Rattus norvegicus: one gene and its partners. The protein of the gene in region 3 binds, or shares a complex with, the protein of the main gene of each other region. Links are inferred from orthologs where the notes say so. Each region holds a gene or a part of one and is shown on either strand. Other genes may lie near its edges.

Evidence for each region.
Region 1: Arid1b (region 3) and Dpf1 share a complex: the UniProt entries of both Homo sapiens proteins name them as parts of the neuron-specific chromatin remodeling complex. The link is inferred for Rattus norvegicus from reciprocal best matches to the Homo sapiens genes ARID1B and DPF1.
Region 2: Arid1b (region 3) and Dpf3 share a complex: the UniProt entries of both Homo sapiens proteins name them as parts of the neuron-specific chromatin remodeling complex. The link is inferred for Rattus norvegicus from reciprocal best matches to the Homo sapiens genes ARID1B and DPF3.

What each region holds. Positions count from the first base shown.
Region 1 is NC_086019.1:93,732,347-93,736,758, reverse strand, and holds the start of Dpf1 (zinc finger protein neuro-d4), read right to left. Parts: upstream 2,843-4,412; coding exon 2,814-2,842; coding exon of another isoform or gene 2,811-2,813; intron 2,627-2,810; exon of another isoform or gene 2,413-2,626; coding exon of another isoform or gene 2,405-2,412; exon of another isoform or gene 1,930-2,404; intron 1,923-1,929; exon of another isoform or gene 1,669-1,922; intron 1,475-1,668; coding exon 1,314-1,474; intron 1,241-1,313; coding exon 1,133-1,240; intron 1-1,132. UniProt on the Homo sapiens protein: May have an important role in developing neurons by participating in regulation of cell survival, possibly as a neurospecific transcription factor. Belongs to the neuron-specific chromatin remodeling complex (nBAF complex).
Region 2 is NC_086024.1:108,853,741-108,858,121, reverse strand, and holds the start of Dpf3 (zinc finger protein DPF3), read left to right. Parts: upstream 1-1,496; 5' UTR 1,497-1,518; coding exon 1,519-1,550; intron 1,551-4,381. UniProt on the Homo sapiens protein: Belongs to the neuron-specific chromatin remodeling complex (nBAF complex).
Region 3 is NC_086019.1:48,323,442-48,327,082, reverse strand, and holds part of Arid1b (AT-rich interactive domain-containing protein 1B), read right to left. Parts: coding exon 3,529-3,641; intron 1,438-3,528; coding exon 1-1,437. UniProt on the Homo sapiens protein: Involved in transcriptional activation and repression of select genes by chromatin remodeling (alteration of DNA-nucleosome topology).

The DNA of each region.
Region 1 (4,412 bases), about 45 Mb from region 3:
ATGCAGATAGATGGCCAGCCACACGAAGGAACACAGCCAACCTTTGAGTACAGCTGGACACACAGAAGAGATACGATTAAGTCCTTGGATACAGAGATACTCAGGAAGAGACAGGCAGAGCCTCAGAGAAATCTGGGCCTTCGTTAATTAGGAAGACACAGGCAGGCCACGTGATACACCTGGACACTCAGAGACAACCCCAAGGAGAAGCACTCAAATGTGGTCACACACTTGCACAGAGAAACACAGTCTGACATACACCGGAAATCACAGCCAGTCAGCACTTCCAGTACTCCTGATACAAGCAAACCTTCACACACACATTTGGACAGAGGACGAGACCAATGTCTGCCTTTCCAGAACACACTGGAAAACTCCAGAAGAAACACCTAACCCAGAAAGGCTCTCACAGACACTACCCTAACAGGATGCGCTGACAGAATCACATAGAGCCCAGAAAAAGCTAGGTACGCACAGACCTACCACCCACACACAATCAAATACACACTTTCTGATACATATTCTCTCTTGGAAACACCTAGAAAGGAACAGGCATTCTAAAACACTCAAGCAGTGAATACAACTAGACACCCTTAACTCAGTGGCTCTCAACCTTCCTAAAAGTGTGACCCTAAATTTAATACAGTTCCCCATGTTGTGGTCACCCCCAGCCATAAGATGATTTCGTTGCTACTTTGTAACAGTAATTTTGCTACAGATACAAATCGTGAATGTAAATAGGTTATGCGGGGTCTTGACCCACAGCTGGAGAACTGTGGCTAACTCTTAACACATACACGGTGAGACAGCCCTCAAGCACCCACAGAAAGAAACACTGCCAGACACGGGTGTGTCCCAGCTCACTCAGAAACACGTACAGTCAGACTTGATACATCTAGACATGGATAACACCGCGTCCTCCATACACCTGCTCGTCCTGACCCACATAGCAGGTACAGCTGGCAGCTCAGGAACTCAAAGAAAGTAACTCAAGACATCCAGGGACAGATACCCTGCTGTGAAGACACTCAAGATAATAAAGACGAAGTTCAGACAGTTCAGACGGGCAGCAGGGGGGGTTGAAGGCCTTGACTGGGGCCACAGCAAGCGCAGGGGACACAGCTCCACCCACCGATCTTGTACTCGCAGGGCCGGAGCCTGGGGTCCTCCAGGATGTTGAGTCTCCGTTTCTTCCTCCAACAGCGGGCGGGGTAAGTGTAGATCTGTCCTGGGGCCAAACCTAGAGGAGAGAGGCTGTGAGAGTGAGGTCCCTGGACGCAGGCCCCGCCCCGCCCCAGCCTCGCGGCGGGTACCAGGCCCGCGGTGGGTCTTCTCCATCCAGATGTAGCAGTTGTTCTGAGCCACGCCGGTCTGAGAGTCGAGGAAGGGCAGGCGCAGGCTGCGCTCGGCACACAGGCGCGCGTTGTAGCTGCGGCAGTGCTCGATGGCCTCCCGGTAGAAGTCCTCGCCAAGGCTGCGGGGGCGGGCGAGCAGTGGGCGGGCGGCTGTCAGCAAGGGCTGGTGCGAGGAGGCCCAGCACCCTCCCCCGCGGCCCGTTCCCGCTGGTCCTCAAAGGGCAAGCCGACCAGGTCCACCTTCACCTCCCCCATCTCCTCCCACCCCTCAGGATCCGGGGGCGGGGCAGGGTGCAGGCAGGGAAGCAGTTACCTAAAACTTGATTATGTCTCGGGTTAAGAAGTATTCACAGACAATATAGAAACAGACCAAAACACACCGGGACCCGTCCACACATGTAGCCAAACATCCAATACAAACAAATCGCACATGGCCACACGGGATTCACACACAAAGAGAAACATATCCCAATATTCACAAAGGAGTAGCAAACAAATTCTCTCTGTCGCACAGCCGCACATCTCTTGCAGAACACAAATATTCCAAATTTTAAAAGAATATCCATAGAACTACCTATGAATGCCATGTATCCAGAGACCCCAGATGTGTCCAGAGGAAGATTATCCACAAAGCCCCACAACATGGAAACACACCACACAACACTCATCCCAACAGTCACACGTTGTCAAAAGATAGGGACCCTAGAATCATTTACATATGCGCTTACATATTCATCCAGAGACACTTCAGCCAAACACACAATACAAAGACATCACAGAGATTTATACAGGTACACATACACACATTCACACCCTCCGGGGAAAAACAAACCCAAATTTAAAATACATTCACAAACACAGGTACACCCCTTGGAAACAGAGGGACAGTCCGGTCTGCCTCTGTTCGTGCAAATATTTAGACCTATCCCTACAGCTCCCTATCCAGAGACACGGAACATAAATGGTGCAGTTTCACCAGACATGTGCACACACTTAGAGACCCAAATACTCAGATAGGTAGTGCAGAATAAAAGAAATCCTATACATACCCACACATTCAGCTACAAAACAAAAAGCAATGTATAAGTCTCACAACACACTCCACACCCCAAGACAAAGGTAGCGTGGGTTCGACTCGAGTGTACCCAGGCCCCATCTTCTCTAAATCATTTACCCTCTCTCAAACCCTAGCATCCCTGGGAGGGGACATGACCCCTTTCCCCTAAAAATCCTTGGAGACCCCTCCCCCACGCCCTCCACCCGTCCAGGAGCAACGCGTCGTACACCATTCTTGCCAGACACCCACAGTCACATACACTCGCACCCCCGCACGCGGTGACAGCCCCCTGACACCCCACCAGCCCCACCCCCAGCGGCCGCACACATACACACACACGCACTCGCAGCCACACAGACTCGCCCGCGCTGACTCCCCCGCCTCGCGCACGCCCGCACCACCTCAGGGGGCTGGGGATGACCGTGGCCATCTTGCTCCCCGGGTCCTGCCCCCAGCAGGTCCCTGCCGGGTCGGTCCTCCCAGCGGTCGGGCGGGCGCTGAGGCCGCCCATCCATTCATTCCCGGGGGGCGGGAGCACGAGGATCTCAACCAATCAGGTTGGCAGGGCGGGCCGCCCAGGCCATGCTGGGAGTGGTAGTCCCTAGCGGGTCCTCCGACCCAGAGGGATGGAGGATCACGCAGTGGTTCACACACGCTCACTCACATGCACTCCCAGCCCCACGTGCACAGACGCATGCACGCACACACGCGCACATGGCCGCTTACACACAGTCACACTACACTCGCAGACTTCCATTCACCCCACCTTCACGCACACCCAGCCACAGGCGCGGGGACCTCGCAGGTGCCCACCCGGCGGTGTCACCGGCGCGCCAGACGCCACCTGGCACTCCAAACTCTAGAGAATCCATCGTGACTGAGAGATAACTCTCGCGGCCACCTCACTACAGAACTGCCGTCATTCTTCTTGGGTTCAAATCCTCGCCGATAGGACTTCAGGCGCATTACTTAAGCTTTCTGGGCCTGTCTCGACGGACTGAAGATTACAGTAGTAACAGGGTAAGTGGCTGTTTTAAGGACAGCATCTTGCTGTTCAACCCAAGCTGGTCAATTCTGCTGCCTCTGTCTCTCCAAGTGCTGGAATTAGTGTGTGACTCCACACCACCAAGTGCTGGAATTAATCTCTGGCAGGTACTAATAAATTCACTTATTCCACAGAGAAGATATCTACAAAGAGGATCTGATATGTACCAAGACATAAAGTGGTAACATTGTTTTTTTTTTGTTTGTTTTTTTTTTTTTTTTTGGTTCTTTTTTTTCGGAGCTGGGGACCGAACCCAGGGCCTTGTGCTTCCTAGGTAAGCGCTCTACCACTGAGCTAAATCCCCAGCCCCGGTAACATTGTTATTAGGAAGAATTAGTAGCCTGCCTTAGTAGGTGTTCAACAAATATTTGTTGAGTGAATACTTAACACCTACTGTGCACCTAACACTCACTCCACGCTAAACCTTTACTAGTCTCATTTTCCAGAGGAGGACTTTGAGATCCTGAGGAAACCTTACCTGTTCGCAGCTCCTGACTGTTGTCTGGATGTAGGATTCGTGCGCCTGTCATCCATCCCTACAGGAGCCTCGTCTTCTTTTCTCTCCTACCATCACCCACAGTAAGAGATCCCCAGAGAATGAGCTGACCTACTGAGTCTCACACCACACACACACACACACACACACACACACACCACTCACTCACTCAGCCCCACCCTCTGGGGAATAACTTAGCATTCTGATTAGAGTGGCTGCATAAATTAGCATATCAAGTGTTAATACAAAACCACTCTTGTCCAGCAGGGGGCGGTCCACCCATCCTCACAAGTCTCAAGATCTCCCCGCACTTCAAACACACAATACATCTCAAGACTTAGCTCCTTTTTACAAATGTCCCCATCCGCCCACCCATATCAAATCATCCAAGGCCTTGACCCATCCGTTCCCCGGCACTGGTATGGTGTCTAATTTATGTCCTACCCAGGAATAAATGGC
Region 2 (4,381 bases), on a different chromosome or scaffold from region 3:
TTTAAGGGAGCACTATCACACCTGGTTCTCTTTACAGTGCATCAAAAACAGCTTCCTAATCGTGAGACTCTGTAATGAGAAGAGAGGGTGGGGGAGAACATCACCCTACTAGGCAAACAAAGAGTTAAATATTTCCAGTCTGCACACACGGACTCACTCAGCTTTGCTGGGCTTATCTGTAACTCTAATAGTGAATGGAGTTGGAATCTGAAAGTTCCGAACTGCTTTGTGATTGTATTTTACTTTATTCATGGAGAGTCGTAAAAGGCGAGAGCAGGTGGAATTGTGAACTGCAATTCAGCATCTCTCGGTTTCCTTTTCACTCTCCAGCTCTCTGCTATTTGACCTGATTAAACAGCCAGGGGATAGCCAGACTTCTATATGCTAACGATAGAGTCTCTGGACTCTATGTGATTTCGTGCGTTTTCGCCCAGTCTGAGTCTCCCTGTGCTCCGTGGAAGCCTGAGTTCGCAGAAGTCTTAGTTTCTTCAGGGGTTCACCAGACTCTAAGCAGCCGAAGACTGGGGAAGCCTCCAGTCACGTCTGAACATTCACTTGCAGATTCTTTTCACCTCCTATCTTAGTCCAGAAAGGTGACGCCTGGATTCGCAGAGCCATTCCCGGAGGGGACTCTAGCAACACCTACAATTGTCAGGCTCTAACAATTTCTGCCTAGTTACTGGCTTCCCTAGCTGCGTTTCCTAAAGTTGCCTCAAATCTTCCCCAGCCTTCTGCCTAAAAGGTGCCAGGTCTCACTTCGTTCCCAAGCTGGTCGTGTCAGATCTTCGAAATCGTCGACAGTGGAGAACGGTGGTCGTAGGGGACCGTGCAGAGTGACCACCTGTGAATTACGTAACAAAAAACCATGGCTGAGACATTCCAGGGGGAAGGGAGTTGCTGCCCTGGACTCTCCCGTTCTCAGAAACCGACCGAGGAAGGTGGGTGAGATAAAGAAAACACTTCGGGAACAAGAAAATTGAACAGCGGCAGAACCCAGAGCATTTTTAGCAAAGAGTGGAGCACAGTAGTAATTTCTTGGAGGAAACTGCAGCCTTCCAACTTTTTGCACTTGTAACACAGTGGTGTACCCGAGACTCGGGGGTTAAAACCGTGATATACAAAGCCCAAAGCTAATGAATGGGATTCAGCATTTTTGTTGGCATTATGTAAATATTCTTGTCCAGGAGCGCAAACTCTGCGGTTATTTAGTAAAGTAGGGACTCAAACTAAGCGAGATTGCTCTCCCATGTATCTCCACTAGTCCCTATTTGAAAGGGCGCTACTAACACGGTACTGCCCCTTTAAGACCTGCTCGCTCTCGGGCTCTACAAAAGGGAGTGACCTCTGGGCTTTGACAGCTCCCCTAATAACTACCACCACGCAGGCTCCGCCCACTTGGCGACCAGCCGCGCCGATTGGCCGGCAGACCGGTATCCCGTGCTCTGATTGGCCTGCCGCTTCCCCTGAGCGAACCTTTAGAACTCTGAGACAGACAATATTCTGTTACATTGTAGCAAAATGGCGACTGTCATTCACAACCCCCTGAAAGCGTAAGTAAGACTAAAAAATGTACATATTCCGCGTGGTTTCAATATGAAAAAAAGGCGCCTTGCGGAGCGCAGCCGGCGCTCGGCTCTCGCAGACGCCTCCCGCTGCGCCCGGGCTCCTCTTTTCTTCCTGCTCTTACTTCTTCATCTTTTTTCCTCCCAGCGCGCAGAAATGTCAGGAGATGCAATTAACAAAAAGAAAATTGTTAAATTTGTGTTCTGCTTAATTGGCTGACCCGGACCGGGAGGGAGCACAGAGCGCCGGCGCCGGCTCCGGAGCTGCGGGGGTCGTGTGCAGCTCGGGTCTTCACGGTCCCCGGAGTCCCCTGCCTCTCCCGGCGCCGCGCGGGGCTGGCTGAGTCCGGCCGGAGCGCGGGGCAGGGGCCGCGTCCTGCGCTCTGCTATGCCCTGCGCTCCAAGCCGGAGCTTCCCCGGCCCCGCTGCTTGTCCACCGGGGCGGGCAGACCGACCGCAGCGGCTGCGGAGTTTTGCAGGGCGTTCGCTCTGCCTTCCGAGCTCTCCCAGGGAGTTTGTGTAAACCTTCCGGAGTTGGGAGGACGGCGCGCGGAGCGGCGGGTCCCGGGAGTCCTGGGGCCCAGGTGCTTGCCCCGGGCTTTTCCACTCCGGCAGCCGGGGATCAGGCGGGCGCTCCGGGCGGTCGCCGGTGTGTCTGTGTATTTGTAGGCTAACTGGCTCTAGTAAATTAACGATCTGGGTTAACTTGAGGTTGATATGGAGACGGGGAAACTGCAGGTCTTATTAATGGTGTGCTCGCCTGCTCTGGGTGAAAAGCTGAGGCGGCGGAGGCGGCGGTGTAGGGCTCTGGCGACAGCGAGGGGCAGGTGCCTCCCGGAGACTTTGAGCGGACAGAGGGGGGCGGGCTGCGCAAGGACTCGCGGGGGCCGGTTCCGATCGGAGCTGCCTGCCTGCCCGTCTTCCTTCCTTCCTTCCTTCCTTCCTTCCTTCCTTCCTTCCTTCCTTCCTTCCTTCCTTCCTTCCAGTCGGTGGACTGAATATGAAGCCGCCAAGTCTGCGGGTGATCGTGGAGCTGGGGGTGGCCTGGGAAAACTAGTGTGGCTCTCAAGGGGCGCTATTGGCAGGGATGTTGGCAGAGGGTGGATCCTTGGGAATCGCGGCGCGGCGTGGGCACCGGGTGGGTGCCGAGTGTACTAGGACTTCACGCCCTGATGAAAGCCTCTGGGAATCGGAGGGTGCGCGTGGGTGTTTAGTACCAATTCTTCCCGGTCTGTGTCAGTGGTCGATCTTGGCTTTTAACTGCGCGCTACAGCGTCCTAAGCCCTGGCTCCGGGAGTCGAAAACACCGTTCGCTTTGGGGAGCAGCAGGGCGGCGGCGAGTGTGTGTGTGTGTGTGTGTGTGTGTGTGTGTGTGTGTGTGTGTGTGTGTGATTCCTAGTGCCAAGAAACGCGTAGGGAGAACCCGCTGCGTTTGCACCAGCCAACAACCAGGAATAGGGCAGGGATGTCCCAGATCTCGGAGTTTCCACGAGATACTGCGGTAAAGACAGGGGCTGAGCTTGATGCGAGTTCCTGGCTCCGGTTCCCGCTCGGAAGCTCAGCTACTTTGCACTCGCGACAGCGTTTAACCTGAGAGGGGAAAAAAATGTTTTATGGCAGAATAAATGGGCGTAACTTCGCCGCGTCCTCGCCGACTCCCGCCACCACACCGCTGGTGCCGTGAGTTTCTCCAAAACCCACACAGCTGATTTGCAATTTCCTCATTTCCAGTCGAAATCACGTAGCAGAGCTGATGCTGCTTGGTAAACTCAGGTCTGAGAGATCTATTTGCTATGTGTACGGGGTTCCTCATTGGGAAAGCGGCATCCTTGGTGCCCGGGAGCGGGCTTACGCTCGGGCGCGCGCAGGAGCTCCACGCTCCAGGGTTCCCCAGATCTTTTCACTTTTTTTTTTTGACACAGAAGCGTGCGTGTATTGGAAATTGTGGGGAGAAGGAACAGAGAAGCTAGAAGGTGGTCAATCTCGGTTGATAGAATTAGTTCTGAATTATCCTTGTATCCCTTAATAATTGGAAACACTTGCCGTGGGATGCATTTGTAACTCCGTCTTGGCTCACGCACAGGGGCGCTCACCCACAACACCCCTGCCTGCCCTTTCCTCAGAGGAAGTCCAGTGGTCACTTATAATTAGCCATCCCCTTTTGTATCCCATCCTCTTCCCCTGAGGACTAAGGGTGTAAACAATAACCCCAATCAGCCAAGCTTTTTGCACCCTGGACATTTTCAAAACTCCGCACGCAGGAGCACACACACATCGTTACTGGGAGACCGAGGCCATCTGCTTTTATCATTATTATTATTATTTTAAAAACAACTTGTTTAATAAAACATCCTATACATTTCATTTGTTTTTAGAAGTTGCTGACCAGGAAACAAAACACACGTGAATAAATTATGCATGGGCTAAATTAGAACAAAGCAGAGCAACGCATCCAGCCGAAGGGATGGATGGGGGCGCAGGGAGGAGGAGGAAGAGTGAGGGGAATGGTTTGGAGAGCTTACGTGTTTATCCTTGTGTGCCCCTCCTGACAATGAGGGAGCTCCAAGCCACATTAGCATTTTCTCCGTGTGCAAGCGCTCTCTCTCGTCTTAAAAAGGCAACATCACGGACGCCCCCTACAGAAACTGGTCACAGAAAGATTTCCTCTTGAGCCTGGGGATAAGTAGCAGTAGTAACGGTGTTGGGAAGAAGCCAGCTCAGGTTTCTTTCATGCCACCCCGTGTAGGGCTGTGCCTTAGACTCTGGGTCCCTTTTCATCTTGCTAGCTTTTTTCCATGTGGGGGCATTCAATAATTCAA
Region 3 (3,641 bases):
CAGTGTATCCCCCTGGGCAAGGTTCGATAAAAGCGCCATGGACATTTCTCGGCAGACTGGGTTTTTGCGATCCCCAACGTACCTAACTAATGTAGCATAAAATTTCTCCTGACGACTAAATGGAGGTGTGGCCAAGATCAGGTCCACATTGTTGTCCTGGATACTGAGTTTACACAGTGTCTCCAGCACAAGTCTTTGTGGCGATAGAACTGAGTTGGGCCCCACAGTGGGAAAGGGGTCCTGTGCCTCTGCAGACGGGCACACCATCCAGTGCAGCAAGCCGTCCAGGATCGGCAAGCAGATGCTCTCTGTGTAAGCAGACAAGTCTAGCTGCCCGGAAATGTTAGCCAATGTGACCAGTGTGTTATCCCGCAAGACCTCGAGGCAGTCCCACCACCACTCATCTTTGCTGCAGGCCACCCCCTTGTCCTCATCCTCCTCCTTCTCATAGGTCTGTGGCGCCCGTTTTCTCTCCGGATGCTCATGATGCAGCAGAATCAACTTTCCTAGGATCAGCACCAAGCCCGGATGTTTGGACATCTCTGCGTCGTTGCCAGGCACGAAAGACAAGCTCCGCACGATGTTAGACACACAGATGCAGCGTTTGGCCAGGGAGTCCTGCCAGTGCGCAATGGTGCACAGGGGAGTCTCGTCTCGGCTCCTGGGCTCGTCCTCCAGGAGCCTGATGTTCCGGTGGCTTTTGGCCTGCTGGATTCCAAAGGGAAACTTGCCGCTCTCGGTTTGGGGTCCGGGGTTGCTGTCTTCCGGCAGGGCCCCTGGTCGGGCAGACAGGACATCATCAATGGTGGCTATGATGCTTTTCTCTGGCTGCTCTTCAGAATCGCCCTTGCCTGCCAGCTCTTTCTTCTTACCCGTGGAGCTGAGAGGCGCAGGTGGACGCCTGCGAGGAGGGATCTCCATCTTGCTCTCGAAGTGAGTGAGGATGTGCTCAGTGGTGTCGCCACCACCCAGCTGCCAGTGGAGGAGCCCGCTGTTGAACTCTTGAACCCGACCCAGCCTGTCGGACCGGTCCACCACAAACAGGTTGTTCTTCTTGACAATCTTTATGGGCAGCTTGTCAAACTTACTGGCCTGCCTCGGCGTCTCCTTGGGGTCCGCAGTGGTGTCTGGAGCAGCTAGGGCAGAGCTGCTCTTGCCCTCTGACTCTGTCTTTTTACTGTCTTCCTCCTCTTCCTCCTCCTCCTCTTCCTCCTCCTCCTCTTCCTCCTCCTCCTCCTCCTCCTCCTCCAGACACTCGGCATCATCTTCTTCTTTCCCAGAGTCGTCCTCCGAGGACTGGCTGTCGTCTTTCTTCCCTGTGCGGTGATCAAGCGCCCTTTGGCTGGGGTCACCCACTTCATATTCCATCAGAATACCGAAAATGTCAATTAGGCACTTTCGGAAGTACTCCACTAGTAGTTCCAGGAACCCCGACAGCTAGAGAGGGGAGAGAGCAGGTACAGGTCAGGACACCAGCTCTGACAGAGGGGCCTTGGGTAGAGACTTCACACTGTTCTAATGTCCTTCTGCCCTGACCCTAGAGGGCACACCACGCGTCTGAGAGCTACCTTCCCGAGGATGGACTAAGGGTGCACAAGTGTGTCTCCTCCAGTTCACTGCCAGCTGGCGCTGCCAGCATTGGCCCCAGCTTTCCCCAGCCATGGCTCCAGTGTGTGCAGAGCTCCCCACTCTCTCGGCCTGCATGATTTAGGGAGTACACTGTGAGGAGCAGGAGCGAGGGTTTTATAGACTCTTGCACCCAAAGTGAATCTATTTGCTCCTCTACTATTTATCTGGGAATCGCCTGCTGGGGTTTTTATGGTTATTATTCCTAGGATTTTTATGGTTATTTTTGTCTCAGGTACCATAGGTTGTCCTGATTTACGTTCTTTCTATATCTTTTGGAGGAGATAATTTTAGTAATGTAGTCGCTCATAAAGACTGAAAATTATAAACAAATCAATTTAGTCCCTGATAAATGAACTAAAGTGCTTTATAAAATGCAATTTTACATTTCAGTTATTCACAATGCTAAATGAAAGACAAGAGCCATTGACAGAGTCTGCCTGTGGAAAGTCGAGTGCTCCCGTCTGTATCACTCACTCCACACACAGCCAGCCTTACATGAGCTGTAGGGACATGCAGCGTGGGTTCTGTATGACAGATGCTGTGAGACCAACCATAATCTCACATCTCCTCTTTGTTCCCAGGGCTGGGCACGCCTGTCCCGGGTGAGCGCACATAGCTATACCAAGCAGTTTTTGTGGTCCTGAAGGTATTCTCCCCAGGGGAAGAATTCTCCCCCTCCCTGTCATAAGCTTCCTTGGGGAAAAGGGCAAGTTAACCAAGCACTTCTGGGCATAAAAATGTACAACCGGCCAGAGTTCATCTATTAAGAGGATGAAGGTTCTCGAGAAGGCTGGACACATTATTTTAAGCACACATCTTAAATACCATCATTAGGGCATGCAATGTTTTTGACCCATTAACACAGTCCACCAGCTGAGAGCTGCCTCTGGTCTACACTGAAGACTCAGTGAAAGAAAGGGGGTGGTAGAAAGTTCTGGTCTTTATCTCAGCGGCAGGCAGAGAACCTAGTGTCTTCAGGTGAGGAGCTGTTTACAGCCCACAGGGAGAACAAGCCTCTCACATTTTTATTCTGAACATCAGGTTAAAGCCCATACCTCACTGACAGGGGCATCTTCCTCAGGCTTCCTGCTGTTAGCCATATTGTTACAAGCTACCTTAAGGCCAGCTCTGAACTGGGGGTGAGTGAGGGTGGGGTGCTCCCTGGATGACGGAAGAAGCAGGGTTTCAAGTGAGGACTTTAGGATGACCCGGAGAAGGCAGATGTGGGGAGGTGACCTGGAGGCAGGCATGGCTAGAAGTCCCTGGTCATTCTAACGAGACGGGGACATGGCCAATGAGATCTGTGCTATGAAATGTGTTACATACTTTCCACTGGGGAAAAAGACACAGCATGGGATGTGGTGGTGCTCCCTACAACCACAGCATGTGGCAGCAGGGGCTCAACATCACACAGTTGGCTCAGGCTGGACCCTGCCTCAAACAAATGATTGAAAAACAGTAACATCAATAGAAAGATACTAAGTTGCACTGAGAAGTACTTTCTGTAATAGATCAGTTCCACGTTAGGGTTTAATCACTCCTATTGAAACAGTCTCAATCTCTCTCTCTCTCTCTCTCTCTCTCTCTCTCTCTCACTCACACACACACACAGACACACACACAGACACACACACACTCACACAGACACACACTCACACAGACACACACTCACACAGACACACACTCACACCTCACATGATGTACCCTGAAGATAGAAATTAGTTGCTATCCCAGAGTGAGTACCCAGACAACTACGTATTGACTAGTGCTGCTTTACACTAACTACAGAGATTCAGTCTTGGATGCTGGCTGCACAGCACCTTAGGCACCAGCTTAGCATTATGCATACTCCATTTTAGAACACGCCAACTTGTTGCCAGCTGTGTGCAGCTGCCTCACCTGGGAAAGATTGAAGGTGGCGACAGTGCTGTCATCATAGAGGAGAATGTTGATGGTGTCCAAAGCCCACGTGCTCTCAGCCAACAGACCGGATTTAAGGGACATCATCACAC